Saccharomyces cerevisiae S288C: one gene and its partner. The gene in region 2 interacts genetically with the main gene of each other region. Each region holds a gene or a part of one and is shown on either strand. Other genes may lie near its edges.

Region 1 (6,465 bases), on a different chromosome or scaffold from region 2:
CTCTTCTTGGTGGTCTTGAGGAGCTTTGGAAGTTGGAACCTCTGGCTGCACTCCAGTCAATATCTGGCTCTTCTCTTTCTCTTCTTGGTGGCCTCGAGGAGCTTTGAAAGTTAGAGCCTCTAGCTGCACTCCAGTCAATATCTGGCTCTTCTCTTTCTCTTCTTGGTGGTCTGGAAGAGCCTTGGAAATTGGAGCCTCTTGCAGCGCTCCAGTCGATATCAACTTCTTCTCTTTCTCTTCTTGGTGGTCTGGAAGAGCCTTGGAAATTGGAACCTCTTGCAGCAGTCCAGTCAATATCAACTTCTTCTCTTTCTCTTCTTGGACCTCTGAAGTTAGAACCTCTAGCGGCACCCCAATCAAGATCTGGTGCATCTTCTCTTCCATCACCTTGGAAATTGGAGCCTCTAGCACTACTCCAATCAACATCTGCACCTCCCCCTCTTCTTGGAGCCGCAACAGAAACGTAAACAGTTCTCTCATTCAATTTAGTACCGTTGAACTTCAGAACGGCGACCAAATCTGCTCTTTCTTTCAAAGTAACGAAAGCATTACCCTTTAATCTTGTTGGGTCTCTTAGATTCTTTGGCAAAACAACTTCTTCAACCGCTTCAGGCTTAACTAAACCATCTTCAACCCAGGCTTGAACACCCTCTGGGGTAATATCCCATGGAATGTTGTTTATGACAGCCCTATATGGTGGAGCATCTGGAACAGGGTATTCCTCTCTTCTATCGGAAGAACCGCCCCCCAAAGCAGGGTCTAATCTAGATCTACCTCCAAAACTGCCACCAAAGCCGCCTGAACGCGTGTTATTGCTGTTGTTTTTAGCATGAGCCAATTCGGACAATGGAATAGTGTTTGCATTAGCGGTTTCAATAGGAATTGTGATCTTATTCAAATCGACATCTTCTTCAGCCCAAGATGAACCAAAGGTGTCATCATTTAAAAATGACGTAAGGTCCATCTTCTTTACGGTTTTCTTTGGTGGAGCCATGATGTGTCCTTTTTATTATGGTATTATTTTCCTAAAGACAGATGAAAGCTAATATAAACTCGAGTTTTATGATAATCCCGCTTATTGGTCTACTGATCTTCTCTAACTCTGTAGTTATATCTATCTCTTCTGCTTCTATTTCTGCTTTTCTTTAGCGATGCTGATTTCCGCAAAAAAATTTTCATTCCGTGGTGCGTGATCTGATGAGAAATAAAGCCAAAAAGAAAAAAAGACAAGAAGACAAAAAGGTTGGGCGGCTAAGTAGCGCCAGGATATAAAAAGCAACATAGATTTCAGTACCCTATTATCCTGCCAAAATTTACTTTAAGAAGTCTCTATGAATATACAGGCTAAATTTGGAAACATGAGAAAGGAAAGATGAAGATACAAAGATTGCAAGCAGTCAAGAAGATTTAGGAAAAAAGGAAAAAGCAAAAAATATCGATTTTTATGACTTACAAACTAAATTGATATGTTCGAAATAATTTTGAGAAGCTGAGCTCAATCTGGTACTAATCACTTCAAGTTAGATGTGCAAAGAAAGAGAATAGCATAAATTCAAAACCAAAGGAAGTGCGAGGCATTACCCGCATATTATCGGGAAACAGAAGCCATGTTAGAGTGATTTCCAACAAATGGCCCTTTGCCAGAGATGGGCTCTGCAAAAGAATTGGAAGAAGAGAAGAAATCGCTTCACATTCCGTTTCGTTTCTGGGTCTAATTAAAGTAGTACGGTGTCAATTAGGTATGCTAGGTTTGCGAACTCATGGTTTAGACAGGTATGAACATTATATTCGTCGCCCGTCGGATTTTGGCAAACTTGAGCTGCAAGATTGGTTGAATCATAAGTCATTCCGAGTTTCCCCCAATTTATTAATTGATTCAAGCACCACACGTGAGTGGAATGAACCTGAGCTTTTTTATCAAAATACCGAGGATGAAACTTGGGTGAGACCTTGTGTAGGGCCAAAGCTAGAACCATCAATGATGATGCTCAGATATCACGATTCGAATATTGGTCAAATGCCTCAATTTTGTTATCCAATCTCAAGTCCGATAAATTTTAAACCAGTATTAAAATACATTTTGCAAGAACGTTCTGAACTGTCAGACGGCTTCCCTCAAAAGTATAACACACTAATAGGTAGTCTTTTTGACATTGATAAAAACCCAGAAACCTTAGATGATTCAGATATAGAAGCATTGGATGACATAGAAATGAGCAGTGACAGCGGTAATGTTAAAGAACCAAAAATTGAATTGCAGGCGCTGGAAGAAATCCAACAAAAGCATTTCAGTTTAATAGTATCCAACAATGGAATCTTTCAAACAGGTAGCACTTCAATAACATACATACAGTCTGGCATATCTGGCAGCATAGCTATAAAACCCAACAACGTTGCAATTTTAATATTACTCACTCAACCAAGTGGTCACTTATTGTCTATTTTACCGCTTGATGACGGTAAAGAGACATATTTGCTACAATATTGGAACCTGGGACAAAAAGGTCAGTGGAACATAATCAAGCACCAAAACGAGAAGCAGTTTGTTCTTATACATAAGGAACTAGGCATTTGCAAATTTTTTGAATTCCATTTACCATTTACTTTTCAATTAGTAAACAATTTAACATTGACCGATTCCGTGATTATGAACGGATCCTTTTTCCCAACAAATTACACTGATTTAGATCCCTATTTCATTATATTTATAACAGCCATAAGATATGAAAGGATAGTCTACTTTGTCATAGAATGGAACAACAACGAAATAAAGAAAAAAGAGGTATATCAATTGACAGTATTTGATGGTGAGAAGACTAATATGACAATACCCATTGGACTAAATGCATGTTTAGTCGAAACACCCCTAAAGTTCTCTTTAGTTTCTGCAAATCAAATTATGTCAGGAGAGACTGAATTCCACTCATTCCAATTGAAGGCTCTCAAGGGAATCAAGTCATTTTTTCCAGCTCCTTTATTGTTATTAAAATTACAAGAACTACACCCACATACATTTAAAAAATTCCAATATTGTACCATAATATCCTCCTCGACAGGAAATATTTGTTTTTGCGTCACCGAACGATCGACAATAGTAAATGGTAATTTAAAATTTTACGAGCTAACTAGGTTCAAAGGATTGAAATCCATTTCACCACTACCTTCAAATCCGATAAATTTAGACTCCAGATCCTCAAGTTATGTACTGGTGGTCATAAGTTTTAGTAGAACATTAGAGCTAACATTATCTCTAGAAGATTTGAGATGTTTAGATAAAAAAGACGTTATTAAGCCTTTGAAAAATATCACCTTCAAGCACACAATTGATAGTTCCACAGAGGAGAACTCTCAAATTTTAGCATTTACGTCTTCTAAATTTTATAACACACACACAGGCTCTAACATCAATGACACGAGAAATTCTCAAGTTTGGCTTACCTCACCAAATGCAATAACTCAACCTTGCATTGATTATAAACTCAGGAAAACTCATCAACTTATCCACTTAAAGCAATTTCAAATTTTTAGACATCTTAGGATATGGAAATGTAAGAACCTTGATATTGCTCTGTTACAGAGACTTGGAATAAACCAGTCAAATACCGAAAGTTCGTTAATTTTTGCGACCGACGCTGTTTCTAACAACAGAATATTTTTATTAGATTTAACTATGACAACGACAATCGATAATGATGATCCCGTTCAAGGACTGATAAATATAGAAGATTTACTATGTGATACTGAAAACGAAACTATCCTTCTAAATTTTACGAAAAATAACTTGATTCAAGTAACTAGGGATACGATATACATCGATCCCATTGGTGGGGACAAAGAGTTGCGTAAGATTTCTCCAGGTTGGGAATTCGAAAACGTTACATACAATGATGGTATTTTAATAGTTTGGAATGCTGGGCTTGGCTGTGTCTCTTATATTGAAAATATAGACGCTGTTGATGAGTCTGGCGCCTTAGTTTCAAACTTAAGCAGCAGCAAAGGCATGAGCAAGTTCTTCAAGCAGTTAGGAACTGTCACGAGTGTCAATTTTCAAATCAAAGAGTCTACAGATGATCCAACCAAGTATGACATTTGGATCCTTTTACCAGACTGTGTCATTCGTACACCCTTTTCTGACTGGATTAGTGATTCACTTGATTTTTCTGATGTGTATATTTTGAGTGTTCAGCAGGCGTTAATAAACGGCCCTTATTTTTGCTCTCTCGATTATGAATCATATTTTGAGGTGCACACTTTACAGAACAACTGCTTCAAAAAAGGATCCAGATGTACAAGCAGAGTTAATTTTCAAGGGAAAGATATTAAATTTAGAAGCTTTGGTGTGAATCAATGTTTGGCATTTAGTGCATTTGAAATTTTTGTCATCAATTTAACGCCAATTCACGACAGTAGAGAATTGGATTTTTACAAGCTAAAATTACCGCACCTAGGTAATAACAATTCAATTCTTGAAGTCTGTCCGGACATAGAAAACAACCAATTATTCATACTCTACTCTGATGGCTTAAGAATCCTCGAACTATCATACCTAACATCAAATAATGGAAATTTCTTATTAAAATCTACAAGAAGCAAAAATAAGAAATTTTTATATCTAGACAAAATAAATCGAATGCTGGTATTGAATCAGGACTTGAGGGAATGGGAGTGTATTAGACTATCAGATGGTAAGGCAGTTGGTTTAGATTCTCAACTTCTTAAGGATGATTCTGAAGAAATCCTAGAAATAAAGGAATTACCAATAGCAACAGAGGACAATCCTTTAGAAAAGAAAACTGTATTATTGATCTCTTTTACTAGCTCATTAAAACTAGTTTTATTAACTGCTGCAAAAAACAAAATTTCCAATCAAATAATAGATTCGTATAAACTTGACAATTCAAGACTCCTCAATCATTTGGTCATTACTCCCAGAGGTGAAATATTCTTTCTGGATTATAAAGTTATGGGCACCGATAACGAAATGTCCTTTAACAAGTTGAAAGTCACAAAACATTGCATTGACCAGGAGGAGAGAAATAATACGACTTTGCGGCTCACTTTGGAAACCCGGTTTACATTTAAGAGTTGGAGTACAGTTAAGACGTTTACTGTAGTAGGCGATAATATCATTGCTACCACAAATATGGGCGAAAAGCTCTACTTGATTAAGGATTTCTCTTCATCATCTGACGAATCGAGAAGGGTGTATCCCTTGGAAATGTATCCTGATTCAAAAGTTCAAAAGATAATACCATTAAATGAATGCTGCTTTGTTGTTGCCGCTTACTGTGGAAATAGGAACGATTTAGATTCAAGATTAATTTTTTACTCTTTACCCACCATCAAAGTTGGGCTTAATAACGAAACAGGCAGCCTACCAGATGAATATGGGAATGGGAGAGTCGACGACATATTCGAGGTTGACTTTCCTGAAGGATTTCAATTTGGCACTATGGCTTTGTATGATGTTTTACATGGTGAGAGGCACGTAAATCGTTACAGCGAAGGCATACGGTCGGAGAATGACGAAGCAGAGGTTGCCCTAAGGCAGCGTAGAAATTTACTACTCTTTTGGCGAAACCACTCTTCTACACCAAAACCTTCACTACGCCGAGCCGCCACTATAGTATATGAGGATCATGTATCATCCCGTTATTTTGAGGATATAAGTTCTATATTAGGAAGCACTGCAATGAGAACTAAAAGACTATCTCCCTATAATGCGGTAGCATTGGACAAGCCTATTCAAGATATTAGTTACGATCCCGCAGTACAAACTTTATATGTGCTAATGGCAGATCAAACAATTCACAAATTCGGCAAGGACAGGTTGCCTTGCCAGGACGAATACGAACCAAGATGGAATTCTGGCTATTTGGTTTCAAGAAGGTCAATAGTTAAATCTGACCTCATCTGTGAGGTTGGGTTATGGAACCTTAGCGATAACTGCAAGAACACAGTATAATTCCCTCATTTCCAATAACATTGTCGCTGATAAAATCGTGATTCTCGATCAATGTGCTACGCGTCGTGCAGCGTGACAAGGGGCTAAAAAAAGATACAAGAATTCTTGTTGTTTCCAATTTGCTTCGCCTCAGAAAAAAAAATAAACAGATTATACAATTTTTGTTTGATTTGTATTGGGTACTACATGTTTTAGTAGTTGATACAAATACTTCTTTATCCTAATCGTATATATTTATTTTACCAGCAGGAATTCGTCTTTAATATCGTTTCGACCATCGATCATTCCTCTGAGTATTGCAAAAACATTTTTGGAACAACCCAAACTTAAAGTTACAAAACTCAAAAAAGGAACAAAATTAATAAAACAAAAGAATCGCTGTTAGAGGTTTATTGTTGCACTAATAGAAAATCATAGAACTTTAAAAATTATACTAGAAAGATGTCACAACAAGTTGGTAACAGTATCAGAAGAAAGCTGGTAATCGTTGGTGATGGTGC
Region 2 (7,468 bases):
ACCAGTGATTACCAATACCGTTGAGGCATCCGCGTTGAGAAAATCATATAAGGGAAACGTGTCGGGTATAGATATACCACTTCCAATAGGTTCGTTTGAAGATTTAATTTCAAGGTTTTCATTCGATAAGCGTTTACTGAATAACTTGATTGAAAACGGGTTTACTGAGCCTACCCCAATTCAATGTGAATGTATTCCTGTTGCTTTGAATAATAGAGACGTTTTGGCATGTGGTCCCACAGGGTCTGGTAAGACGTTAGCATTCTTAATTCCGCTGGTTCAGCAGATTATTGATGACAAGCAAACTGCAGGGTTGAAAGGGTTAATCATTTCGCCTACAAAGGAATTAGCGAACCAAATTTTTATTGAATGTTTTAAGCTATCTTACAAGATATTTTTGGAGAAAAAAAGGCCTCTGCAAGTTGCACTCTTATCTAAATCTTTAGGCGCTAAATTGAAAAACAAGGTAGTTAGTGATAAGAAATATGATATAATCATTTCTACCCCATTAAGACTAATCGATGTTGTGAAAAACGAAGCTCTCGATCTCTCCAAAGTTAAGCATTTGATATTTGATGAAGCTGATAAATTGTTTGACAAAACATTCGTTGAACAGAGTGACGATATTTTGAGCGCCTGTAGAGAGCCATCGTTGCGTAAAGCGATGTTTTCTGCGACCATTCCATCCAATGTAGAAGAGATTGCACAAAGTATAATGATGGATCCTGTTAGAGTTATTATTGGCCACAAGGAAGCAGCAAATACAAATATTGAACAAAAATTAATATTTTGTGGTAATGAAGAGGGTAAACTAATTGCTATTAGACAACTCGTTCAAGAGGGTGAGTTCAAGCCACCGATCATAATATTTTTAGAGTCTATTACAAGAGCAAAAGCGTTATATCATGAATTGATGTACGATAGGATTAACGTAGATGTGATTCATGCAGAAAGAACAGCCTTACAAAGAGACAGGATTATTGAACGATTTAAAACTGGTGAATTATGGTGTTTGATCTGTACCGACGTTTTAGCTCGTGGTATTGACTTCAAAGGTGTCAATCTGGTCATCAATTATGACGTTCCAGGATCGTCTCAGGCTTATGTTCACAGAATTGGTAGAACAGGTAGAGGTGGGCGGTCAGGTAAAGCTATCACATTCTATACTAAACAAGACTCAGTAGCTATTAAACCAATAATAAATGTCATGAAACAAAGTGGTTGTGAAGTATCTGAGTGGATGGATAAAATGGCTAAAATGACCAGAAAGGAGAAAGAAAGTATAAAAAACGGTAAAGCGCATAAAGAAAGAAAGCAGATTACTACTGTGCCTAAGATGGATAAGGCCAAAAGAAGACGTCAACAAGAAATGATTGCAGCATCCAAAAGAAGAAAAAATGAAGAACTTTCAAAAAAACATTTCTCGAAATAATATAAACAAACGTGCGTATGCAAGACATGTATATATGATTAGTAGTTTTTTTTATTTACTTTCATTGATCAATTACGTGACCAGCTATACATTTCTTCATTACTTCTTCTGGGCATTCTATTTAAATCGATATTTCCAAACGACTTTGTCATTGCTGCATAACCCTTTTGATAACTATCGTTTAACCCCACACCTCTGTAAGATTTCGATTCCACTCCATTATGTATATTTCTTCCAGAGTTAAAATGCTGCTTGTAATCTGAATTTTTTCTCTGGAATAGAAGTTCATTTTGATTTTCAAATGACATAAAAGGTTTTGTTTGATGTATATTGTTAGGGTGGAAAAAATAGGGTGTTCCACCAGTTATGGAGTTTTGTAGTTCTGCTTTTTCTCCCCAAAAATTTGATGTATTGGACGTGAAATCATAGGTTTCCTCGAAAGACTTTCCGTTTCTTTTCAATCCTAATGGGGGAGAAGGGCGGTTATCTATTGGCAAAAGTGGATTTCTAAAATCCCTAATGGAAGGTAAATTTTGACTTTCAGGTTGATTGGAGAATCTACGAACTGCTAGCTCTCTATTTAGCAAAGAGTTTTCTTGCATATGAAAGAAGTTTAAATCATTCAAAAGTTCCCCCAAAATTTTGAGCTCATATTCTTCATCCAAGTCAATATCTCTGTATTCCAAGAATTTCTTTTGCATTTGAACTGCGTCGTCAAAAAATGGAACACTTGACAAGCAAATGTCAATCTCTTTTTTAATGTATGTAAGCAAGTTGGTTTTTAGAAAACTCACCTCTAATTGTGTTTTGGTAAACGCTGTTGTGGCAGCTGAATACTCGGTTGGAGCTGAATTTGGCCTCTGTCCCTTGTATGGTGAAGTGGAAATATTCAATTCCATGACCGGTTCCTTTATTTCTTCTAATCCGCTTGTAAAATGAAAGGGCTGCATGTGTTTAGTTTTGTAACCTTCTGTATTACACCAAAAACTTTCCCAATTTTTAAATTGACACTCTTTCAAGCTTGGACTAGAGTCCGGAGCCAGTTTTAAGCCATCATTAAAATCGTCCGTGTGTTCAGATCTTTCGTGTATATCTTTATTTTCATGGAATATGTTGCTTGCAGTCCCCATTTTAGATGACTTTTCTTCATCTTTTTGGGACTTCTGTTTTACTGGACTATTTCTTTTACTTTCCTTACTAGTATTGCCATCTTCTTGAGAATCCATGTTAGGATACGCAGGCAAATCTGAATGGATGTTATTTGGAAAGTTTTCCTTTTCTAATCCATTTAAAAGAGTGCCAGCTCCCATCACTCAACCAATTCAGCTCTTTCCTTGCCAATACAACATAACCGGGAAGAGTTTCAAGTTTGACTTCCAACTAAATACCTAATGTTTTATTGTTGTTATTTATATTTCTTGTGACACAAAAGAGAACATTGATGTCATTTGAGCCTTATCGTTGGAAAGGATAAATAAGCGGTTTAAAAGGATAAAAGAAGCGCAAGCAACAAATCTCAACACAAGTGTAAACCATATGAATGGGGTTAAATGCCTTCTTCTTTGAGATATAAAAAGGAAGTAGAATTTAATATATTAGACATTTTTTTGATTTGAGCCTAAAAAAGATAGCCCTGTAGGGGGCTCGAACCCCTAACCTTATGATTAAGAGTCATACGCGCTACCGATTGCGCCAACAAGGCTATTTCGTTGAAAAATTCAGGCTTCAAAATTATTATATGTATCAAAAATATTTTTTTGAGAAATTTCAAATCATTATCTACGCTAGCCTTACTATTTTTTCACCCAGAAGATAGTAACCTCATCGCACATACCTATTGAAGCTGATAATATTTGAAGCGAGAGCTTTATTCTTCTCCTCAAATTTTTTTTTTCTTCTGCGCTGTTAACTTACCACTAAACCTGTTTCCATTTTTAATGGTAGTCCTGTTTATTATTCCATTTTTAGAATTGTATGTACCTTGGACGACATTTTTTGGCAATGACATCGAAAGCACTGTTTGATACCAAGATCTTAAAAGTTAACCCGCTATCAATCATTTTCTCCCCTGATGCGCATATAGATGGTTCCTTACCAACGATAACAGATCCTGAAACGGAAGCAGCGCTAGTTGAAGCGGCGAGGATAATAAGAGATACAGATGAGACTGTGGCTTTTCCAACCGAAACTGTTTATGGTCTTGGAGGTTCTGCTTTAAATGATAATTCAGTGCTTAGTATATACAGGGCCAAAAATAGGCCTAGTGACAATCCTTTGATTACACATGTTTCATCCATTGATCAACTTAACAGAAAGGTCTTTAATCAACCGCATCTATCAGGTACATCCTTGTTTGATAACATACCCTCAATCTATCGCCCATTAATTTCAAGCCTTTGGCCTGGCCCATTAACAATTCTTTTGCCAGTTCCATCTTCAGAGCATAGTGCATTATCAAAGTTAACGACCGCAGATCAGCCTACGTTTGCGGTACGCATACCCGCTAATCCAGTGGCTAGAGCACTGATTGCCCTGAGCGATACACCAATAGCTGCTCCTTCAGCGAATGCGTCTACTAGGCCATCTCCTACTTTAGCGTCTCATGTTTATCATGATCTAAAGGATAAAATTCCCATAATTCTTGATGGCGGAGCGTGCAAGGTTGGTGTAGAAAGTACTGTTGTTGATGGGTTATGTAATCCTCCTACGCTACTGCGACCTGGCGGTTTTACATATGAAGAAATTGTTAAATTGGGTGGTGAAGCTTGGTCTCTTTGTAAAGTTGAGAATAAGAAAACAGTTGAAAAGGGCGAAAAGGTAAGAACGCCTGGTATGAAGTATAGACACTATTCCCCTTCAGCTAAAGTTGTTTTACTAGTTCCTCATTGCGAAGGCGATGGCATTCTTAAGGGCGTTGATAGGATGGAAAGATTAAAGAGGTTAATCGAAACGGAATTAAAAGCCAACAGTAATATAAAAAAAATTGCGATTTTAACTTCCCTAAAATTACGTGATTCCGACTTACAATCTAAGATCTTTAATGAACCCGATTTTTCTTCGAAAACTTTCATCATCGAAAGACTTGGCCAATCTGGTGAAGAAATACAGACTAACTTGTTTGCAGCTTTAAGAAAAGTGGATGAAAATGATAAAGTAGACCTAATATTTGTCGAAGGTATAAATGAGGAAGGAGAAGGATTAGCTGTTATGAACAGATTGCGAAAGGCGGCTGCAAATAATTGTATACAGTTTTAAATAAAACTGTGATTAACTTTTGAAAATCATAACCACTGATTACGGAGATTTTATATCTAGTCCGGAAAAAGAAGGAAAGAATAAAATTTTATATTGCTTTGTATATACGAAAAGTCGCCCATACATGTTTATCTTAGTATCCGTTGTAAATATATGTACATATATACATCTACATATGTTCCCATTAATTAGTACATTTACCTCAATAGGGTTGGGCGTCCTCATGAAAGATAAAGGGAAGGAAGGAAAAACGATAAAAGCACAAAATGTGACATATCAAACATTTGAGAAATACGTTGAGTCTTCTTCATTCTTTTTCCTCGTCCACAATTTTCTCAATTCATCAACGATGAAAACGCTACTGCTGATGAGCAATAACAATAGTATATCAGAGATACCAAGTTTCTCAGTTTTAAAGATACTTTGGAAAAATGGTATATATATAGCGCACATTTGACCTAACAGAGACAGTCCAACGGCGTAGTTGAACATTTTGTTCGTGAAAAAGCCGATTTCGAAGATTGACTTTGTGTTATGTCTGCAGGCCAAAGCATTAAACATATCAAAAAAAACAAAACAAGTAAATGTCATAGTAGTATCTCTAGCAGTTACTTTACCATCTTCGGCCATCTCTTTAACAAAAATGTAAACTGTCCCAACGATGATACAGGCCGCGGTGGTTAGTAAACGTTTCATTACATCATGGGTCAAAATTTTATCGGTACGTTTTCTTGGAGGTTTTTTCATAACTTCATGATCAACAGGTTCCACACCTAAGGATTGAGCTGGTGGCCCATCCATTAAAATATTTATCCAAAGAATTTGCATTGCGTTCAGTGGATTGGGTAGTTTAAACGCTGTAGATAGTGCAACTAATGATAGTGCGGCAACAGAAGTAGACAATTGAAAAGTCAGGAAATTCTGAATATTATTAAAGATACCTTTACCCTCTTCAATGGCAGTTAAAATAGTACTGAAGTCATCATCAGTTAAGACCATATCTGAGGCTTCTTTGGCTACATCTGTACCAATTCTACCCATAGAAACACCAATATCTGAAAGTTTCAACGCAGGAGCGTCGTTAACACCATCACCAGTCATTGCTACCACATCACCCCTCTTTCTTAATGCACGAACAATGTTTAACTTATGCTCAGGCGTAGCACGAGCAAAAATATTAACGTGGTCGATGACATTGGCCAGTTGATCATCTGACATTTCATCTAATTTATCACCGGATAAAACGGAAAGCTTTGGATCAATAACTGGAATACCAATTTGTTTTGCAATGTTTACTGCGGTATTCTCAGAATCACCAGTGATCATAATAATATGGACACCACCTTGTAGTAATTGTTCGATGGCAAATTTAACGTTCGGTCTTGGTGGGTCATTCATACCGATTAAACCAGTAAAGGTTAAATCTTTGATTAGGTCTTCGGTTAGAGGAGTTGATGAATCAGACAAAGTTAGTTTAGCAAATCCAAAGACACGCAAACCTTCAGATGCCATAGAATTTGCGCACTCATTTATCGTAGCTTTTTGGGCTTCAGTCAACTTTTCAGTTTTTTTACCCTTTGATTTCAAATAACTTGTGGAGTACTCAAGAATTCTTTCAAATGCACCTTTAACATAAACTGTACACTTATTGTCGACAGGGTTGAGAATCTTGGTTGCCATTAATTTTCTTTTCGAGTTAAATGGAAGTTCCTGAACTTTTTGAACGGTGTTTCTGATATCAGGCATTTCAAAGTTTGCCAATTGCTCTAAAAGAGCTACATCAGTAGGATTTCCCAGAAATATGGCATGTTCTTGAGAGAAAGATGCATTATTACAGAGATTACCGATAGTTAGAGTTTCCCTAACGTCTTCAGTCAAATAGTTTTTCAAATTTCCATTAGAATTTTTAGTCTTCTTATTTTTGTCTAATGAGAGGACGTTTAGCTTATTGGACATACTGTCCAAGCACCAAAGTTTAGATACGGTCATGTGGTTTGAGGTTAGTGTACCTGTTTTGTCGGAGCAGATAACGTTGACAGAGCCTAAAGTTTCGACACTTGGTAACCTTCTCACGATGGCTTTACGCTTGGCCATTCTCAGAACACCCAATGCCAAAGTAACAGTGACAATAATTGGTAACCCTTCTGGAATAGCAGCAACCGCTAAGGATACCGATATTTGGAACATTTCTAACCAAGATCTACCTTGTATGATACCAACTAAACAAATCATACCAATAACTATGAAGCTAACCAGTGACAAGTCCTTTCCCAATTTGTCCATTGTTAACTGCAATGGAGTCTTCGGTTTTTCAATATTATTCATCATTTCAAAAACGGCACCAAAGGATGTGTTTGTACCTGTTCCTACGACGATACCCTTACCATGACCTTCCTTGACTAATGTACCCATATAAGCTATACAAGATCTCTCAGAAATCGGTACAATTGAATTAGGCTGATCGTTAAAGGAAGATTTTTCGATCGTTTGTGAGGTTTTATGTACCGGTTCATTTTCACCAGTTAAATTACTTTCATCGATGGATAAATCGATTGCTTCAATAATTCTAATGTCTGCGGGGATTCTGTCACCTATTCTGAAGTGCACTAAATCACCAGGAACCAAGGTGGAAGCCAGTACATGACTCTCTTGACCACATCTCATTAAGTGACATTCAGCAGGAACCAATTTATTCAACGCTTCTAGAGATTTTTCAGACCTATATTCTTGGACAAAACCGACAGTGACAACTATGAAAATGGCCAGTGTGATACTAACAGC

Evidence for each region.
Region 1: mutations in HUR1 (region 2) and MMS1 together harm fitness more than expected from each alone (negative genetic interaction), as found in Saccharomyces cerevisiae (4 studies listed by BioGRID, with this or other methods).

Annotation. Positions count from the first base shown.
Region 1 is NC_001148.4:868,962-875,426, forward strand, and holds MMS1 (Mms1p), read left to right. Parts: upstream 1-1,741; coding exon 1,742-5,965; downstream 5,966-6,465. Other genes in the region: TIF3 (Tif3p), read right to left, coding at 1-994; Rho family GTPase RHO1, read left to right, coding at 6,407-6,465. UniProt on the Saccharomyces cerevisiae protein: Component of multiple cullin-RING-based E3 ubiquitin-protein ligase complexes (CRLs), which mediate the ubiquitination of target proteins. The CRL associates with CDC34 as the E2 ubiquitin-conjugating enzyme.
Region 2 is NC_001139.9:182,653-190,120, forward strand, and holds HUR1 (Hur1p), read left to right. Parts: upstream 1-4,811; coding exon 4,812-5,144; downstream 5,145-7,468. Other genes in the region: RNA-dependent ATPase ROK1, read left to right, coding at 1-1,432; SPO74 (Spo74p), read right to left, coding at 1,501-2,742; SUA5 (threonylcarbamoyladenylate synthase), read left to right, coding at 3,407-4,687; Ca(2+)/Mn(2+)-transporting P-type ATPase PMR1, read right to left, coding at 4,964-7,468.